Linked DNA regions of Saccharomyces cerevisiae S288C. The protein of the gene in region 4 interacts with the protein of the main gene of each other region in a biochemical or structural test. Each region holds a gene or a part of one and is shown on either strand. Other genes may lie near its edges.

Evidence for each region.
Region 1: of the proteins of HRP1 (region 4) and HMT1, one has a biochemical effect on the other in vitro, tested with the Saccharomyces cerevisiae proteins (4 studies listed by BioGRID).
Region 2: the proteins of HRP1 (region 4) and RNA15 form a complex in vitro, tested with the Saccharomyces cerevisiae proteins (one study listed by BioGRID).
Region 3: the proteins of HRP1 (region 4) and KAP104 form a complex in vitro, tested with the Saccharomyces cerevisiae proteins (2 studies listed by BioGRID).

Annotation. Positions count from the first base shown.
Region 1 is NC_001134.8:303,577-307,537, forward strand, and holds HMT1 (protein-arginine omega-N methyltransferase HMT1), read right to left. Parts: upstream 2,401-3,961; coding exon 1,354-2,400; downstream 1-1,353. Other genes in the region: EDS1 (Eds1p), read left to right, coding at 1-1,127; pyridoxamine-phosphate oxidase PDX3, read right to left, coding at 2,693-3,379. UniProt on the Saccharomyces cerevisiae protein: S-adenosyl-L-methionine-dependent protein-arginine N-methyltransferase that catalyzes both the mono- and asymmetric (type I) dimethylation of the guanidino nitrogens of arginine residues in a variety of RNA-binding proteins such as heterogeneous nuclear ribonucleoproteins (hnRNPs) and small nuclear ribonucleoproteins (snRNPs).
Region 2 is NC_001139.9:415,251-419,308, forward strand, and holds RNA15 (Rna15p), read right to left. Parts: upstream 1,787-4,058; coding exon 896-1,786; downstream 1-895. Other genes in the region: RIM8 (Rim8p), read left to right, coding at 1-480; transcription elongation factor DST1, read left to right, coding at 2,233-3,162; YGL041C-B (uncharacterized protein), read right to left, coding at 3,454-3,636; DPC13 (Dpc13p), read left to right, coding at 3,575-4,039. UniProt on the Saccharomyces cerevisiae protein: RNA-binding component of the cleavage factor IA (CFIA) complex, which is involved in the endonucleolytic cleavage during polyadenylation-dependent pre-mRNA 3'-end formation and cooperates with the cleavage factor NAB4/CFIB and the cleavage and polyadenylation factor (CPF) complex.
Region 3 is NC_001134.8:270,249-276,338, forward strand, and holds KAP104 (Kap104p), read right to left. Parts: upstream 3,456-6,090; coding exon 699-3,455; downstream 1-698. Other genes in the region: cysteine-rich palmitoylated domain-containing protein CPP1, read left to right, coding at 1-385; GAL7 (UDP-glucose:hexose-1-phosphate uridylyltransferase), read right to left, coding at 4,179-5,279; GAL10 (bifunctional UDP-glucose 4-epimerase/aldose 1-epimerase), read right to left, coding at 6,005-6,090. UniProt on the Saccharomyces cerevisiae protein: Functions in nuclear protein import as nuclear transport receptor. Serves as receptor for arginine/glycine-rich nuclear localization signals (rg-NLS) and PY-NLS in cargo substrates. Its predominant cargo substrate seems to be mRNA-binding proteins.
Region 4 is NC_001147.6:85,369-90,234, forward strand, and holds HRP1 (Hrp1p), read left to right. Parts: upstream 1-2,475; coding exon 2,476-4,080; downstream 4,081-4,866. Other genes in the region: TRM11 (tRNA (guanine-N2-)-methyltransferase), read right to left, coding at 88-1,389; divalent metal ion transporter SMF1, read right to left, coding at 4,324-4,866. UniProt on the Saccharomyces cerevisiae protein: RNA-binding protein, which is involved in the polyadenylation-dependent pre-mRNA 3'-end formation and cooperates with the cleavage factor CFIA complex and the cleavage and polyadenylation factor (CPF) complex.

The DNA.
Region 1 (3,961 bases), on a different chromosome or scaffold from region 4:
ACGAGATACTGGATTATGCTGTGTTGTTCAAAAGGTTGTACATCCTTTTAAACATTCTGGATACGCTACAAAGCTTTCGGCTAGGTCAACCAAAATTAATTAATCTAAATTTTGGTAGCGCCATTGAAACATATTTTAGCGATAAAACAGGTCATAACCAAGTCGTCGAAAAAGCTCCCGTAGCTTTGGATAACATTCTACGAAACCTTAAACTTGGTGAATTTATAACATATTTTGTCCTTAACAGAAAATCATTGCAAGTAAATGTACCTCACCACTTGCTGTTCACAAATCAAACGGATTACGGAGAGTTCGCTGTTGAAAAAGGGGAACATGATAATATAGCTGGCAAATTTGAGACCCTTTTGAAGAAAAAGGAAATTTTAATCAGAAAATTACTAAATATTGAACAGAAAAATGACCATATTCTAGAAAATTGCTGCAATTCGGATGCTGAAATGAAAAATATCGGAGAGCTAGTCTGCTCAATGATCACTCTGGTATCAGGCATATTAGATTCAATTACTAATATGAACGCAGAAAACTCTGTTGATTTGGATTCAAAGCCCCTTCCGAACGCCTATTTTGCTCAGGACAGTGAAGAAGAATTAATGTCGCCAACACAAAGTATTACGTCAAATCTTGCCAGTGAAGAAAATACACGTTGCACAACCAAAGACTTGATGGGAACTGTTTCTATTTTCATGCTGCCAATGGTGGAAGAATGCTATAATATCATTAGTTTGATAGGACCCATACCTACCACATTAATAAGTTTATACATCCGTAATGGAAATATGGCCAAGGGAATAAATGACAGAATTATGACGTTGTCAACTGCGCTGAACGAATTGGTGCAAATAACCGCACTATTTAATACCCTAGAACCTTTTAGGAAGAATGCACATGACCGTGCTAAGCGTTACTATGTAAGTGCTACAAGTAGTACCGGATGCTACGAATCGGTAATGAAGAGCATGTATTCCGGAAAATGTGCAGCTAGTAACGCCTCAAACGTTGCGCCATCGGAGGAAGAAAACAAAAAGATATTGAAAAAGTTTGCCGACATAGGTTGGAAATTGATGGATGATTCAGAATTGGGTTGTTGCTGTTGCTTCTTTAACTAATATTCATGATAACAAGGTGAAAAATAGCATCCTAATGAAGGATAGATAAGTAGATTTTTTCTTTTAAAAACTATAGTACAAGGACATGCAAAGTCATATATCTAAACTAATTTTGGTACACGACCAACAAAAAAGGGTAACAAAGTACACATATTCGCGTCAATAATATGAACAAGTTTGTTTATTTGCTTTTCAAATTTTTTTCTTTCTCCAGCAAACAAAAGTCTTAATGCATTAAATAAGAACCTTCGTTTTTTCTGCTTCTTGAATTACCGTCGATGCCATTCGATTCGAACTTGTAAGAAATTTTGATATTTAGATCTCTGTTATTCTTCTCGTTTGGAGAGCAAACCAATTCACCTTCAATGGTGTCACCAGTTTCAGCATCTAGATCATCAGGGAAATAAAATATTGTTTGCTTCCAGTGAGTGTATGGAGCATGAGGACCAGTGGAGAACTCAACAGGTCTCTTACCCTTTGGTGCAGGGAAAACAATGTCGAACCAGGTGACTATACCATTAATCATATCTTGTCTCTTGGCCGTCAATTTAAAGTTACTCTTAAACGCTAGATCTGATATTTTTACTGTATTTAAATCAAATTCGATCAATTTGTCTGAGGTGGTGTTGACATTGTTTCTTTCCACGGTGTCGACGATGGGCTCGTGTAAGACCAACGGAACAAATGGCGAATAATCAAACCCGTAAACGTCTTGCCAGTAGTTCAACTTCTCGTCTTTATACTGAGAGTCTTCCAAACCGGCCAAATGAATGGAGCACTTGTCGGGAAAGATCAGACCGCCTTCTACCAAATAGTGGTCTCTAGCGTAAAGAACGGTGTCCATCATGGACTCGTATAGTAGAAAGTAACCCATCCATTCAGAAATTATGATGTCAACTTTAGGAAAGGGTAAATGAACGTCCTCCAACTTGCCTCTTAGCAAGGTGATCTTGTCGCTGAATCCGTTCAACTCTACCAATTCCTTCGCCATCTCAATAATGCTTGACATATCAACACCGATAACATGCTTCGCACCGTGTTTAGCGGCAAACATGGATAAAATACCGGTACCGCAACCGACGTCTAAAACAATCTTGTCCTTAAAAAGATCCTTATTTTGGATAATTGCGTTTCTGTAAGATAAGGTACGAACAGTATCTTGAAGCATCTCTTCGTGAATACCATAGTGATCGTACGAATTGAAGTAGTGCTGTTCGCTTTCACTTAGCTTGGTTTTTTCTGTAGCAGAATCTTTCACGGCTGTCTTGCTCATTATTTTCTTTGGATGAATTTGTCGGTTCTAACTCTTTTTTGGAAACGGCAAGGTGAGCAGTAGGCAGCTCATCTCTTCAACTATTTTTATAACATATAATTTCCCTTTGTGAAAAAATTTTCCCGCCATTTCCAAATTTCGGAATTCCTTTTTCTTTTTTTTCATCTCGGTATATTCTGACATATTACCCTATAGGCGGTATAAAAAGATTCATTATACAGTATAAAATAGAAAATGAGAGAATTATATGGTGTTAAATAGATCCTACATTGAATTTTTCATTAACAGTCCCTCATGGGGCTAGTCTAACGACTTTCCATGGATCGTTTTCTGTTTTTCTTCTGTAAACGAATCTATCATGCAATCTCGAGGGTCTACCTTGCCAGAACTCAATTTCCAGTGGAACGATTCTCAAGCCACCCCAATAATCTGGACATGGGATGTCTTCAGCATCCTTGAAACGTTCGGTGTTTTTTTGGGTCAACTCGTCTAGTTCTTCTCTGTTCTTGATAACATCCGATTGGCGGGAAGCCCATGCACCGATCTTGGATCCACGAGGTCTCGTCTTAAAGTATCTTTCAGAAGTTTCTCTGTTAACATGCTCTGTGATACCTTCAACTCTCACCTGCCTTTGCAGATCCTTCCAAAAGAATACGATTGCCGCATTCGGGTTGGTAGCAATATCATGAGCCTTTCTAGAGGTTCCCCAGTTAGAATAAATAGTAAAACCTCTATGGTCGAGCTCCTTAAAAAGAAGAATCCTGGACGACACCCTCCCACTAGGTAGTTCCGCGGATGAAAAAGTAATTGCTTCTGGCAACGTTTCCCTTGGGTCTTCCTTGGCTTCGTTGAACCATTTGGTGAAAAGATCGATTGGGTCGTCAGTAAGTTGTTTTTCATTCAAAGTAAATTTATCATATTGATACGTCTCAGGAGCAAATATGATTGGCTTTTGGGTCTCCTCAGCTTGTTTAGTCATTTTCAGTGCAGATCCGTGAAGTGTACTACTGGTCTAGGTAGAGTATCTTTAAAATATCTAATCATGCAAATTAGTCATTTCTTCTTTCTTATAAGTTGCGGCCCCTTCTAGTATTTACAATTTACCCGGCGCTGGTTCTGGTGGCATCTATAAGAGCTCTATCTGGCTGCTAAGCAGACTTGCTGTTACTTGTATGTGCTGTTTATCAAGATTGGGGCATTACGCATGTGTATGTGTGAACTACAGTAGTGTTATGAAATACAGCCTGAAAGACGAAAACTTCACAACGGAACTTAAGCGGTTCAATAAACATCTATCTGCCAGCTTAGAGAGACTACCCGTGGTAGAGAAAGACACGGGCAGCCAAAAATACTGGGTGTTGTATATTTACTTGTGTTAGTTTATAAATAAATTTTATATCACTATATGTGTGGTGAAAAGGAAGAGCAATCCTGCTAAAGCTTTTATATCTAAACGCCAAAAAAATAAAAAAAAAAGGAAATGGGAGAAAAGTTTTCAGCGCGCGAACTCGCGAAAAAACTTCCTCTTTAGCAATGGTGACATATAGATCTCAAGGTTCTC
Region 2 (4,058 bases), on a different chromosome or scaffold from region 4:
GAATCTAATAGAATAATAGGAACTCCTATTGGAGAACAAAATGGCTTGGGCGTAGAGAATAATATCAACCGTATCCAAAGGAAAATGCTACGTATGGTCAATCCAGAAACGTTGGAGAACGATTCTGAGGGTTATGAATCCAGTATATTTTTCAAAGATATGGTAAATGTGGAAAAGCTAAAGAGACTGAGGAATGTAACTGGTATGTCCATAGAAACCGTCATAGGAACGACGAGATCCGAACAGCAGCAATCTGATGCAAGCATCCCATCCCAATCCTCAATCACGGCTCCTCAAAATTCTCCATCGAATTTAAGAGATTGGTTGGCCCCATTAAATGCATATGATAGTGACGATGTTCCAGTTCCAAAGTATTCGCCAAATGATAAAGTCAGTGTACCGTCGGAAGACAAACAAGAACTTGAACAAAAAAGACTACAACAGTTAGAAAGCGATCCTCCCCCTTGTGATGACTATTAAAAAGTGCAGGTAACAAGTCATATACTCGCAGCTTGCGCCGTGTTGGAACTAGGCGCCTTAATCATGTTTGCATATTTCCACTATCCCAGCCACGTAATGATCCATGACATTAACATAGAAAAAAAAAATCGAAGCATGCACAAACCTGAGATTTATATATGTTCATGTGTACTTAATATACGTTTAATGATTAAAACTATAGCCGTCCTCAGGCAAACTGAGATAAGAAACGAAAAAATAGCAGTAACGTAAACGTTATTCTATATTTATAAAGACGTCAAAAAAAAAAGTGATTGTGATATTGAGATGTAAGCTATATACCGAACTTTGAGCTCCCTCACGTGGAAAATATGATAGATTGTTGCCTCATCATTGCGGAACCGCATTTTTTTTTTGTATTTTTGCCTCCCTAGTTTCAAAATGCACCAAATTCTCCCCTTAATGCTTTTTGTTTTAAGTCCCAAATAGCCATCCTTTCATCATCGGGCAAGATAGAAATTTGACTGTCATTCAGTTGTAACACCTGTTTCAGTAGTTCTTTCTGTTTGTTAAGCACAGCTGGATCCACCACCTCGTTCACGCTATTGTTATTCGTAGCCGATGCCTCTTCTTGCGGCCTGGAAGCTAACGGGATCAAATCATCCACTTTACATATCCCATTCGTTAGCAATAATTCAGCCGTAACAAAACTCAACTGTGGACACAGCTCTAATAGCGAAACAGCATCTTCAGGATGCGCTCTTGTCCATTCTTGGAATTTTTGTAAAAATTTCAACTGCACCTCTTTCGGTTTTTTAGCTAGTTCGCTCGATATCATCATAGCAGGGGTGGTCATGTTTATGTTAACGTCGATACCAGAGGGCAATTCTGGAAACTTTTGACTTAGAAAATTGGCATTTCCGCTGTTTTGAAAGTCCGGCCCATTACTATTATTATTATTATTTCCATTGTTGTTATTGTTCCCATTAATGTTGTTGTACTGTTGTTGTTGCTGTTGTGAAACTCCCGATATATCACTATTGCTGGAGTAACCGCATTTCAAAAACCTAGAGCCTAATTGGTATCCATTCAAATTACGTACTGCGCTGGCACTGGACTCTAAATCTCTAAATTCAATAAACGCGTACCCTTTCGACCTACCAGTTTGGGGGTCGAACATCATTTTCAAATTGATCACGGGCCCAACATTACTACATAAATCAAGTATCTGCTCCTCTGTTTGATCGTATGGTATAGAACCCAGATACACCACTCGGGATGGTGGGTTGTTCTGTACCCCCGCATTCACACCGCTCTGCCTATTCATTTTATCGTTTTCGTCTTTTCTTTCAATGTATTGATAATTAACGTGTCTATGTGATGCTATTGGTATATAGCCTTTCTTGTATATCCCTCTAACAATTATTACAAGTGTTTCTGTTTAAAGCAAGTGCTAGAAGTGACTCGGTTCTCTTAGGAAATTCTAAACGCAAGATTTCTCTTATGGTGATTGTAACAATTATGAGATACTTCACTAGCCCACCTTAACTTTACGGACCTTCTTTTGAAACGATGCTTCGAATGACAACGCCTTTTTGATATATAATATCCAATTTCATTATAGGGAAATTTTCAACTCTTACCCGCCCCACTGTGCTGATATGACCAAGTGATCACTCGATGATGGGACTACGTATTGAAAAATATTGAATGAAAAATTACTCAAGCAGCAGAACATTCACAGTGTAGTCAGTCCGCATAAGAGCATTCATCATGGATAGTAAGGAAGTACTGGTACATGTTAAGAATCTAGAAAAGAACAAAAGTAATGATGCTGCAGTTCTAGAAATCTTACATGTCTTGGATAAAGAATTCGTCCCCACTGAAAAGTTACTGAGAGAAACAAAAGTTGGTGTGGAAGTCAACAAGTTTAAAAAATCCACTAATGTAGAGATCAGCAAACTCGTGAAGAAAATGATTAGCTCTTGGAAAGACGCAATTAATAAAAATAAGCGTTCCAGGCAAGCACAGCAGCATCATCAAGATCATGCGCCAGGCAATGCAGAGGACAAGACAACTGTAGGTGAGTCCGTGAATGGTGTTCAACAGCCGGCCTCCTCCCAGTCAGATGCCATGAAACAAGACAAGTACGTCAGCACTAAACCAAGAAATAGTAAGAACGATGGTGTGGATACAGCTATATACCACCACAAATTACGTGATCAGGTACTAAAAGCACTCTACGACGTTTTGGCCAAGGAAAGTGAGCATCCACCTCAATCTATTTTGCATACTGCAAAGGCCATAGAAAGTGAAATGAATAAAGTTAACAACTGTGACACCAACGAAGCCGCTTACAAAGCCAGGTATCGTATAATTTATTCAAACGTCATATCAAAGAATAACCCAGATCTCAAACATAAAATTGCCAACGGTGATATAACACCTGAATTCTTAGCTACATGCGATGCCAAGGATCTGGCACCAGCGCCCTTAAAGCAAAAGATAGAAGAAATTGCCAAGCAAAACTTATACAACGCACAGGGTGCCACCATAGAAAGGTCAGTCACCGATAGATTTACATGTGGTAAATGTAAAGAGAAGAAGGTATCTTACTATCAATTGCAAACAAGATCTGCGGATGAACCATTGACCACTTTCTGTACATGTGAAGCATGTGGTAACAGATGGAAATTCTCTTAGAATAGAAAAAGATGAGAGTAGCCACGGACAGAGCAAAGGAAACAATAGGAGGAAGGGACAGAAAAGCCTGTTCTGACTCTATTCGTAGTAGTATTTGACAGCCGGAATCCAGGAAAAGAAAAAGCCAAACATACAACCATATCCAATTTGTTGAAATGGCATATTCATATACGATGTACATATATACATATACTGCTGGTGTTAATTTTTTTTGTCTGTCTCACGTAAAATCTTTTGTTCGTCCAGTTACTTTTAATTATTTATGATTTTCATGTTTTCTTTATTAATCTTCTATGCATTAAATATGGCTCGGTCAGAACTAAAGAAATACAATTTAAGATGTAACAAAACCGACGAATAAAAAGTTAGAATAAACACAAGAAGCAGAAAGTAGATACTACAGCCACACATAATGCTAAGAGTTATATGGAAGCATAGTTCCAGAGTCACTCGTTCGATAGAACTATCGAACATTTCTACCACTAATCACACCAGGAGTTTAAGGAGGCTTTCCTGGATTTCTCCGAGAAGATTTTACGCTCAATCTTGGGACGACAGACAGCCTAATGACAAAATAGATGCACACATAAAGGTGCAGAAACTCATGGATCAAATAAATTCGAGGCCTAATGTTCTGGAAAAGTTAGAAAAGGTTAGCAATATCATGATCGAAAAAAAATTGGTTAATCTAGATGGGACTTCTGCCAATGAAGAAAATACGATGAAACCATGGCAAATGATTAAGATCTTAATGGACAGAGATCTGAGACACGCTATGAAGGAATTTAAATTGGAATTGGAAAAATCTGGCATACAGTTAGGACCTGAACAACTGGCCCCGCTAATGACCGTTTTAGGCCTTGAGAAGAAAAAATGAGAGGTGAAAGTAAAAAAAC
Region 3 (6,090 bases), on a different chromosome or scaffold from region 4:
GTCTGCTAACGATTACTACGGCGGAACCGCCGGCGAGAAGAGCCAATATTCCCGTCCCTCCAACCCGCCACCTTCATCCGCTCATCAGAACAAAACTCAGGAGCGTGGATACCCACCCCAACAACAGCAGCAGTACTACCAGCAGCAGCAGCAGCATCCCGGATACTATAACCAACAAGGATACAATCAGCAAGGGTACAATCAGCAAGGGTACAATCAGCAGGGCTACAATCAGCAGGGATATAACCAGCAGGGATATAACCAACAAGGCCATCAACAACCAGTCTACGTCCAACAACAACCACCCCAGAGGGGTAACGAAGGTTGTCTGGCTGCATGTCTGGCTGCATTATGTATATGCTGCACCATGGATATGCTATTCTAAGAGAACCCGCAAAAGTATTCAAGAATGAAAAAAAAAAAAAGAATAATCTCCCCTTCTGTTCTTTGCAGTTGCCTTTCTTCCCCTCAGTGTTATTTTTTTTCACAAGGAGATAAAAAAAAAAACTTTAACATGTCACTTTAAGCATGTATGTAATACGTCTATTAATTATATGTAACTTTTATAACTATTTTCATTTCTATGTGATCCATTTGCAGTTATGCACCTTTTTTTTTTTTCCGAATTGTGCTATGTATATATCACTAGTAATAATGTACCAAACTATACAAACACGTAGGATACAGTAAAAAAAATTTTAGCTGGTGAACTGTTGTAAGAAGGAGATTTCATCGGGCGTGAAATTTATTGCAGAAATTTGGGCAGAATGGTTCATCAAAAAGGTGTAGATCTCTTGCGCAAAAACATTCGCCTCTACATTGCTTGAAAGGCCCGTAACAATTTTATGAATGGTATCATTACTCATTGTGACCTCCGTGCTGGTCAAATTGATAATTTTCAGGAAACCCATGTACGCGCTACTCTTTTCCTCTACATCGTCCAATGCGTTAACGGACAAACACCATTTATTCCAGTTGGAATCATTGGCAAATGCGCCAGAACTGAAAACTTCAGGGTGTGTTAGCCCCATTTTTCCGATGGTCACAGACAAGTTCTCCATCACAGAGCTGTCTACGATTTGTGTGTTGGTGGTAAATAAATCTAGAATGATTCTAGACATATCAATGATATAAGTATTCAAATCGATACGTTCGCTTATCAAACCAAGCGCCCATATCGCATTTATCACAGCAGGAGTACCATCACTATCGTCGTTATGCATTATTTCCGTACCAATCAACTTCAAGAAATCCTCCAAATTACCAATTACCAGTTCCGAATTGAAAAAATATACAATATCTCCCAACAGGGCAAAGCAGCTTTGTCTTACTTCATGGACAGGGTCCTGCAAACATTCTAGCATGATTTTCAATATCGTTAAATCCTTCGTCCCTTGAGGGAACAATAGATCCTGCGAGTGAGCGCCAAGACCTTGTACCAATCCATCAATCAAATCTAATGAGGTGATGATGAAGTCCTTCTCAGGCACTACTATTGTCGGGTCTTGATGTGATTTGGCTTCCAATTCGACACAATGACATAGAATTCTAAAGGCTCTGTTGTACACTTCTGGTGCCATAGGCATGAATCTTTCCCCCAGTGATGATGCCACGCAGGAAAGACATTCTAAAAGTGGCCACAGCTCCTTGTCACTGTCTGACAGCAAAGCCCATTTTTCAATTAAGGGCGGCAAAATTATTTGCATCGCTGTCTCGTCTAATGCACATTTTTCAGCAAACCTGCCGATGGCATCATATAATATAATTAAATTCTTTTTCTTGTAATATTTCAAACATTTATCAAAACTCGTCAATAATTGACTATAAAATAAAGTTTCAACCAATTCGGAGTCGGCGTTTTCAATAAATACTGCTACACTACTAATAGCCGCCTCTTGAACATCCTTTTTCTTGTCCATTAATGTGTTTATTATAGGTTCTAAGACTGGAATTAAAAACTCAGTATGGTCTTGTAATATCCATGGTGAAAACCTACTTAATGTCCAACATGTCATTTTCCTCACTGGTGCCCACTTATCGTTCAATTGTTCCACTAAAAATGGTATTAGTGCTGGTAAGCCATCATTAAAATACTTCATTCCACCTTCTGCCATGGCCCCCAGTGCTAATATAGTAGCTTCTCTAATAAACCACCTATCAGAACCCAAATGTTCTCTTAAAAATGGGAACGCTATATCCATCACTTGATGAGGTAAAATATTCGTCATTACATCTAGCGTTGCCGCGGAACATTTTCTCAAATTCCATTGCGTATCAACATCGCCATCTTCATCATCATCATCATCATCATCATCTTCGTTGTCATCTGCATCCTCTCCATTTCCTGCCTCTTTCTTTTTCACAATACGGGGTGCAATGGGCTTGATGTCCTCATCTTTATCCTCCAAGAATGCATCATCATCATTAGAAGCTTCCAGGAGAACGATGGATTCTTCGTTATAGACCATTTTCGATAATAATATTGGCACGATATCCTTAACATATGGTTGTAAGATATGTTCAGGAATATTTGGGCTCGTTGCAAAGGCGTGCAAAAACTCGCAGGCTTCAATAGCCACTTTTTCCTCATTTACAGTGGTGATCAAATGCAACATGAATTGTACAATACCATCTAAATGGGAAACCAGCTTATCTGGTCTGAATTCCAATAAGAAACTAAAACTAATGCAAATCTGTGCCCTAACTAGGTCGTTTTCGTCGTTTTGTGCCAACTGAAAAATAATTTCTAAGAATTTATCTAATCTCACAATAAAACTTTGTGTTTGTAGCGGGATCACTGTATTTATACATTTCACCGATTCTGAGCGAATCACAGGTGAGAAATTTGGATTCGAAATAAACCTAAAAAAACTATCCAATAAGGCTTCCATAGGCTTCGTATTTCCCGACCATTCCAATTGGAAAAATTGAGCGCTGTCTTCCATGATCTTAGATAAAGCCTTAATACTTGGCTCATTTCCATTTGAGGTTAGCTCTAGCAACTGGTAAAGCATTTGAAGACCAGTTGGATCATCTCTATGCTGCCTATAGTAAGTGGAAAATAAAGTAGTAATAACGATACCTGTCACGTTCGAAACGAGATTATTGTTCGAATTATAAAGGCCATGTATAATGTTTGATTTGACGTATCCTAAGTCGTGGCTATTGCTCTTAATTAAATTGTTTCCCCCTAGCATTGAATTTTTCAACAGCATACCGGCGGTAGCTCTATTGTTCTGAAGATCCTGTAGGGAGTAGTGTTGCTTCAATACATCATCAGATTCGCCTTCAATTAAAATATAACACAAATAATTGAGAAATTCAGGTTGCAGCTGGAAGTTCTCCATAGCTTCCATTGCGTTATTACGAATCTCTGGATTTGGTGACATACAGTTCTGTAAAAGAGTTGCTAGTTGCAACACATAGTCTTCGGCGGGCTTCCATGTCGATGCCATCTTTATTCACTTAACTACTGCTAACAATTCTGAAAACCAAAGACTGCGGAATATTCTGATATGTATTATTACTATTCACTGCTCTTCTGCATAATTAATACTGAAAAGTTTTTCATACTTTTAAACATAACCTTTTTTTAAGCAAAACTCTATAACCCGGATCAGAAAACTACGAAAAGAGGGTAATAACATAGGTGCAGGATTTCCATCGATAACGACACCGACAATGAGCCTTGCTGCAACATCCAATTAGGACTAATAACTATCGTAGGAATTTCTACGTAATAAACTTCAACAGAGCCTAAAATTTGAAAATAAATAATCTAGAGGGGAAACTTAAAGAAATTCTATTCTTGTCAATAAAGTGGAAATGTGTCAGATGTCACAGTTTCTTTATTTGTGACACATATTTTCAACATAAATTCAGGCATTAGTGCTTTTATAAGCATAAGAAGTTGTGGCGATATGAATATTCCAGATTTTACTTACAAGCTGCATTGTATTCCTAAAATTCTTTTTTCTTTTTTTTTTTTTTTATGGAAAGGACCACTCTTACATAACTAGAATAGCATTAAGAATCAGATTTACAGATAATGATGTCATTATTAAATATATATATATATATATTGTCACTCCGTTCAAGTCGACAACCAATAAAAAATTTAAAAGAAACCAGGCAGTTAATAGAAAAAATATGATATGAATGAATATTCCACTTTCTTTTTACAGTCTTTGTAGATAATGAATCTGACCATCTAAATTTCTTAGTTTTTCAGCAGCTTGTTCCGAAGTTAAATCTCTTTGAGGCTCACCTAACAATTCAAAACCAACCAAGAATTTCCGAACAGTAGCTGATCTCAGTAAAGGTGGGTAGAAATGCATGTGAAACCAACTATTACTCAATTCATCACCAGTCGCATTCAAAGGAGCCTGATGGATACCCATTGAGTATGGGAAACTCGTTTCAAATAAATTATCATACTTAATAGTTAGTTGCTTTAAAATCGAGGCGAGGTCCTCCTTCACCATTTGGTTAAATTGGCTAATTGAGGCAAGCTTCTTCTTTGAAATGACCAAGGTCTCAAATGGCCAGATGGCCCAGTATGGAACAACAACAATAAAGGATTCATTCTCCACTACGACTCTTGACTTCTCTCTTGATTCTAATTTGACGTAATCGGCAAACAAATCAGTATTGTGTTCACGTTTATATTTATCAAAAGATTTCAATTCTTGCGAAACTTCACTAGGGATGGATTCTAAGCACCAAGCTTGGCCATGTGGATGTAAGTTGGAACAACCCATGGCTGTACCTTTGTTTTCAAATATTTGGACATATTTGAAAGGCTTATGATTTTCTCTTGCTTCTCTGGAGAGATCGTCAGTCAATGCTTGCCAAGAATTAACAATATGAACCAGATCTGATTGTTTCATTTGTGGAATGGTTAGATTATGATTGGGGCTAAAACATATGACGAAACAATTGCCTCTCACAGATTGCACTTTAAGCAGCCTATTTTTAAGATTATCCTCATTGGAATCATTCTGTGGTAAAATAGGTTGATCGAGCCTAACGGCAGCATAATCATTGGGGAAAATATACGTTGATTCATATCTTGGGTTTAGGTTACCAGTAGCTCTTTTGTTACCAGGACATAGATAGCATTTTGGATCATACAATGGAGCTGTGGGCTTGTAAGCAGCCTCCTGTTGACCTAACCAAGGTCTTTTAGCTCTGTGTGGAGAAACTAAGATCCATGAATCGGTTAGTGGATTGTAACGTCTATGGGAATGGCTAGAAAAATCAAATTCTTCAGCAGTCATTTTTGAGGGAATATTCAACTGTTTTTTTTTATCATGTTGATGCTCTGCATAATAATGCCCATAAATATTTCCGACCTGCTTTTATATCTTTGCTAGCCAAACTAACTGAACATAGCTACACATTATTTTCAGCTTGGCTATTTTGTGAACACTGTATAGCCAGTCCTTCGGATCACGGTCAACAGTTGTCCGAGCGCTTTTTGGACCCTTTCCCTTATTTTTGGGTTAAGGAAAATGACAGAAAATATATCTAATGAGCCTTCGCTCAACAGTGCTCCGAAGTATAGCTTTCCAAAAGGAGAGGCAAAGCAATTTAAGAATGTATGAACAAAATAAAGGGGAAAAATTACCCCCTCTACTTTACCAAACGAATACTACCAATAATATTTACAACTTTTCCTTATGATTTTTTCACTGAAGCGCTTCGCAATAGTTGTGAGTGATATCAAAAGTAACGAAATGAACTCCGCGGCTCGTGCTATATTCTTGTTGCTACCGTCCATATCTTTCCATAGATTTTCAATTTTTGATGTCTCCATGGTGGTACAGAGAACTTGTAAACAATTCGGTCCCTACATGTGAGGAAATTCGCTGTGACACTTTTATCACTGAACTCCAAATTTAAAAAATAGCATAAAATTCGTTATACAGCAAATCTATGTGTTGCAATTAAGAACTAAAAGATATAGAGTGCATATTTTCAAGAAGGATAGTAAGCTGGCAAATCAGGAAAATCTGTAGACAATCTTGGACCCGTAAGTTTCACCGTTTTTCAAGGTTACACAATCTTTCCAGTTCTCTTGATTGATAG
Region 4 (4,866 bases):
ATAAATTGTTCTTCTTTTTTTTTTTTTTTCTTTAAGAGAAAGAGTAAGTAAATATATCTTAAAATTACAAAGGGCTTATGCATCATTTCAGTTAAAATTATTGAAGTACCGCTCCCTGAAATTATCTTTTGAACGTTTTATGCCATGATTACTTGATCCATTGAAAGTGCTACCCCTATTAATATAAACCAGTAGTCTCCTTGACCATTTATTGAATTCTTGAACGCAGTTGTATTTTAGCTCTAGATTTTCGTGCATTGGGACAATAGTTTCAATATTGGCGTCGTTTGCAGTGGGCATCCAGAAGGCTAATCTTCCGCCAATCGGTAATCTTTCGGAAGAGTATTGTAAAAGATCATCCAGTAATGAATCTAGAGCATACGGTTTTTTGGTTGGAATATAATCGCGACGCAAATATGCCTTTTCACCGTCAATTTCCATATCTTCCTTGCCTAGAAATCTTTCTGGATCCTTAGCACCTAGGACTTTTATGCTTTCTCTGATACCATATGGAGGATCACACAAAATAGTATCAATGACAAGATTGTTTCTTAATGCGTTATTTGTAAAGTCCATGGTCAACACGTCGAGGAATTGAGAACTCTCGCCATATTTTTTGAAGTTGGCCGAAATGTTCACTTGAGCACCCTTACCACGAATCATTCTGCCATCTATATCCGAACCAATCACTAAAGAACCAAAATGCCCACCAGCTACCAAAAAGGATCCTGTACCTGCAAACGGGTCGTACATTATAGTTCCCGGTTTCACTTGAGCTATATTGGCGCTGACCAACGATAATTCTGCTTCGAAGCTAGTTGTACCTTTATAAGGTCTTTTCTTCAAATCATATTTCTCCATGGCACTCCTATTGCTCATCTGAACCTGCCTACCAAAATAAATCCTGGTGGGGGTCTTACCACCAACGTTTTCCGATATTGGTGTGTACTCTTCTATAACAGTGAAAACCTCTTGAGGATGTTTCATATCAATCTTTCCTTCAAAGCCAAGGTAACGGAAAGTTTCAATCTGCTCTACCCTCTTAGCTTTACTGTTGCCTTTATAGCATTCGAATTCGAACTTAAAAGTGGAATGTTTGAATTTCAATTGCAGATCCTGTTCAAAGTTAGACTGACGCTGAATATCTTTATGCAGCTCATCGAGCGTTGTACCCTGCCCCCAATACTCATAAATACCTCTGGTTAAAATAGACCTCTTAATCCAATCCTTTGCTTGCTGATCATTTTCCAGCTCTACAATAAAGAAAGGGCTATTGGCATCGTACTGCGAAAAGTCTATGGAAAGATTATATAGGTCTGCTAACGATTCCAGTTCTGCTCTTCTAAAGTTCAAATGAACTTGTACCATATACAGCAGATATTTCTTCATGCTGCCGTTTTTACCTTATATACAATGTGTTTAGTTATGCTATTTCATCTCCATATTACGGGTATTAAGACCTCGATGCCCATAATCATCGATTTTTTTCACTTTTCCCACAACGTAAACATTTCTTTTTTCTTCGGAAAAGAATCCAAAATACGGGTAATAAAAGTCTCTTAAAGTACTAATAGCTATAGATAACATTATGGAGGCTATTGATATACAAAATACTAAGAAATATAGGTTGCTGCAAGGAAGAAGATCAAAAACCCTCTAAATTTCGCTTTATCTATCCATCAAAAGTCCGGAGGGTCATGCTATCGAAAACCTATTGACTATAAATATCAATTTTTTTATCTCTTCGATTTGTTCTTGAAGATCTTGCGCAGAAGTTGAAAAACAAAGAGTAAATCCTAATGTAGATGCGTGGAAAAAGAAACATGCTCTTAAGGATCCCAACTTCTTTCTCTTCTAAACATCTATAACCTTGGAAGATCTTGCGAAATACTGGGCGGCTAAATCGAATGCATTTTTAATCTTACCCGGAAATACTTTCTTTTTTTTATTTATTTTTTTTCTTGCAGCCCCTCCCTACGAGCAGCGCCGAGATTTCTTGTTGGACAAAGCAAAAAAAGTATAAAAGGCGCATGCTTTCCACACGCCCAGGCGCTCTTAAATTTTCTTCCGCTCTCTCCTTTCCGCCACTGTAATTAAAAACAAAGGATTGAACAGTTTCGACTAGTTATTTAATTTTGCAGATAGTCAAGTATTAGTACAATATACTGTTATAAATTTTTTACGTGTATCTTTTACTTTTTAGTGTTTAATAACTAAAATCTCATACCTTACTAGATTTCTTTCTAACCTTTTTTGCGAAAGAAACAAAAAGAAAAAATACGGACAGAAAAGGTATACTCAATAAACAAGAAATTGAAAAAGCGTGCATAATACAAACAATTGGCCCTTTTTTATTCTGTATTAATATTACTGTTTATATTACAATCTTTTCATAAAAGACGCAAATATTTTATTTATAAAGAACTTTAGCAGTATACACAAGTCTGAGAAAATAGAGAATAAGTTAAATAAGCAATGAGCTCTGACGAAGAAGATTTCAACGACATCTACGGCGATGATAAGCCTACCACTACTGAAGAAGTCAAAAAAGAAGAAGAACAAAATAAGGCTGGCAGTGGTACCTCGCAATTAGATCAACTAGCCGCACTACAAGCATTATCTTCTAGCTTGAACAAACTAAATAATCCAAATAGTAACAACAGTAGTAGTAATAATAGTAACCAAGACACATCTTCTAGTAAGCAAGATGGCACTGCGAATGACAAGGAAGGTTCCAATGAAGACACTAAGAATGAAAAAAAACAAGAAAGCGCTACATCAGCAAATGCCAATGCCAACGCTAGTTCTGCAGGACCTTCTGGCTTACCTTGGGAACAACTTCAACAAACCATGTCACAATTCCAGCAACCATCTTCTCAATCACCACCTCAACAGCAAGTAACTCAAACCAAAGAGGAACGTTCGAAAGCGGATTTGTCTAAAGAAAGTTGCAAGATGTTCATTGGTGGTCTGAATTGGGACACTACGGAAGATAATCTTCGCGAATATTTTGGTAAGTATGGTACCGTCACTGATTTGAAAATCATGAAAGACCCTGCAACAGGTAGATCTAGAGGGTTCGGTTTCTTATCTTTTGAAAAACCTTCTAGTGTTGATGAAGTGGTAAAGACACAACATATCCTCGATGGTAAAGTTATCGACCCAAAAAGAGCTATCCCAAGAGACGAGCAAGATAAAACCGGTAAAATCTTTGTTGGTGGTATTGGTCCTGATGTGAGACCAAAGGAATTTGAAGAATTTTTTTCTCAGTGGGGTACGATTATCGATGCGCAACTGATGTTAGATAAGGATACCGGTCAATCAAGAGGTTTTGGTTTTGTGACGTATGACTCCGCTGACGCCGTTGACAGAGTTTGTCAGAATAAATTCATCGATTTCAAAGATCGCAAGATCGAAATCAAGAGAGCTGAGCCAAGACATATGCAACAAAAATCATCAAACAATGGTGGTAACAATGGTGGAAACAACATGAATCGTCGTGGCGGTAACTTCGGTAACCAAGGCGATTTCAACCAAATGTATCAAAACCCTATGATGGGCGGTTACAACCCAATGATGAATCCGCAAGCAATGACAGATTACTATCAAAAGATGCAAGAATATTACCAACAAATGCAAAAGCAAACTGGTATGGATTATACTCAAATGTACCAACAACAAATGCAGCAAATGGCAATGATGATGCCAGGGTTTGCCATGCCACCTAATGCAATGACTTTAAACCAACCACAGCAAGATTCAAATGCCACTCAAGGTTCCCCAGCACCTTCTGATTCCGATAATAATAAATCCAATGACGTCCAAACTATTGGTAATACATCAAACACTGACTCTGGTTCACCGCCATTGAATTTACCTAATGGTCCAAAGGGCCCATCACAATACAATGATGACCACAATAGCGGTTATGGCTACAACCGTGATCGCGGTGATCGTGATCGTAACGATCGTGACCGCGATTACAATCACCGTAGTGGTGGAAACCATAGAAGAAACGGCCGTGGTGGTCGCGGTGGATACAATAGACGTAATAATGGCTACCATCCATATAATAGGTAAAAAAAAAGAAAAGTGTAGAAAACTAGAGAAAAGTTTTCTTGTATAATTCAACAACCCTTCTATTAAATAAGCATAAGCAATTTATAATATATATATACATGTACGTGTATTAGTTTCGAATAGTTATTATTTTTTTTTCACTATGCTAGAATGTATAATCACAAGCTCTACTTGAAGTACAGCTGTCATAAAGCTTACAAATAATCTTAATGTTATTGTGCGCAAGAATGTAAGAGGCAGACATTAACTGATATCACCATGAGACATGCCTAATTGAACAATGGCATAAACGTTCAGTAAAGATAAGAAAAGCCACACAATTATAGCAATAACAGTGATAATCCAATTGTTTGCCATATAAACGATTTTGACATCTTTTCCATTTTCTATCTCCATGCCACTAGAACCATCTTGCTCGATTACGCTACCTGCAGATCTATCGTTGTTATTTTGATGGTTATGGCTATCTTCTTCAGTATGGTCGACGGTAATTTCGGTTTTCATGATTGATTTTTTACATGTGAAGAAAATTAAAGGTGCTACCAAAAATGGCAGAACTATGGATAAAACAACTTGGGAAGCATTTAAGGCCTTTGATAAAGCTTCTCTACCGATACAGATAGAGATGACCAAACAAGGGATTATCGAAATACATCTAGTGGCCAATCTTCTTTGCCATGGCTGCAACTTCCAATTAATATGACCCTCACTTACAATTTGACCCGACATAGTACACACTACACCTGCGGATTGACCACTTAATAAAAGTGCGAGCATGAAAATCGT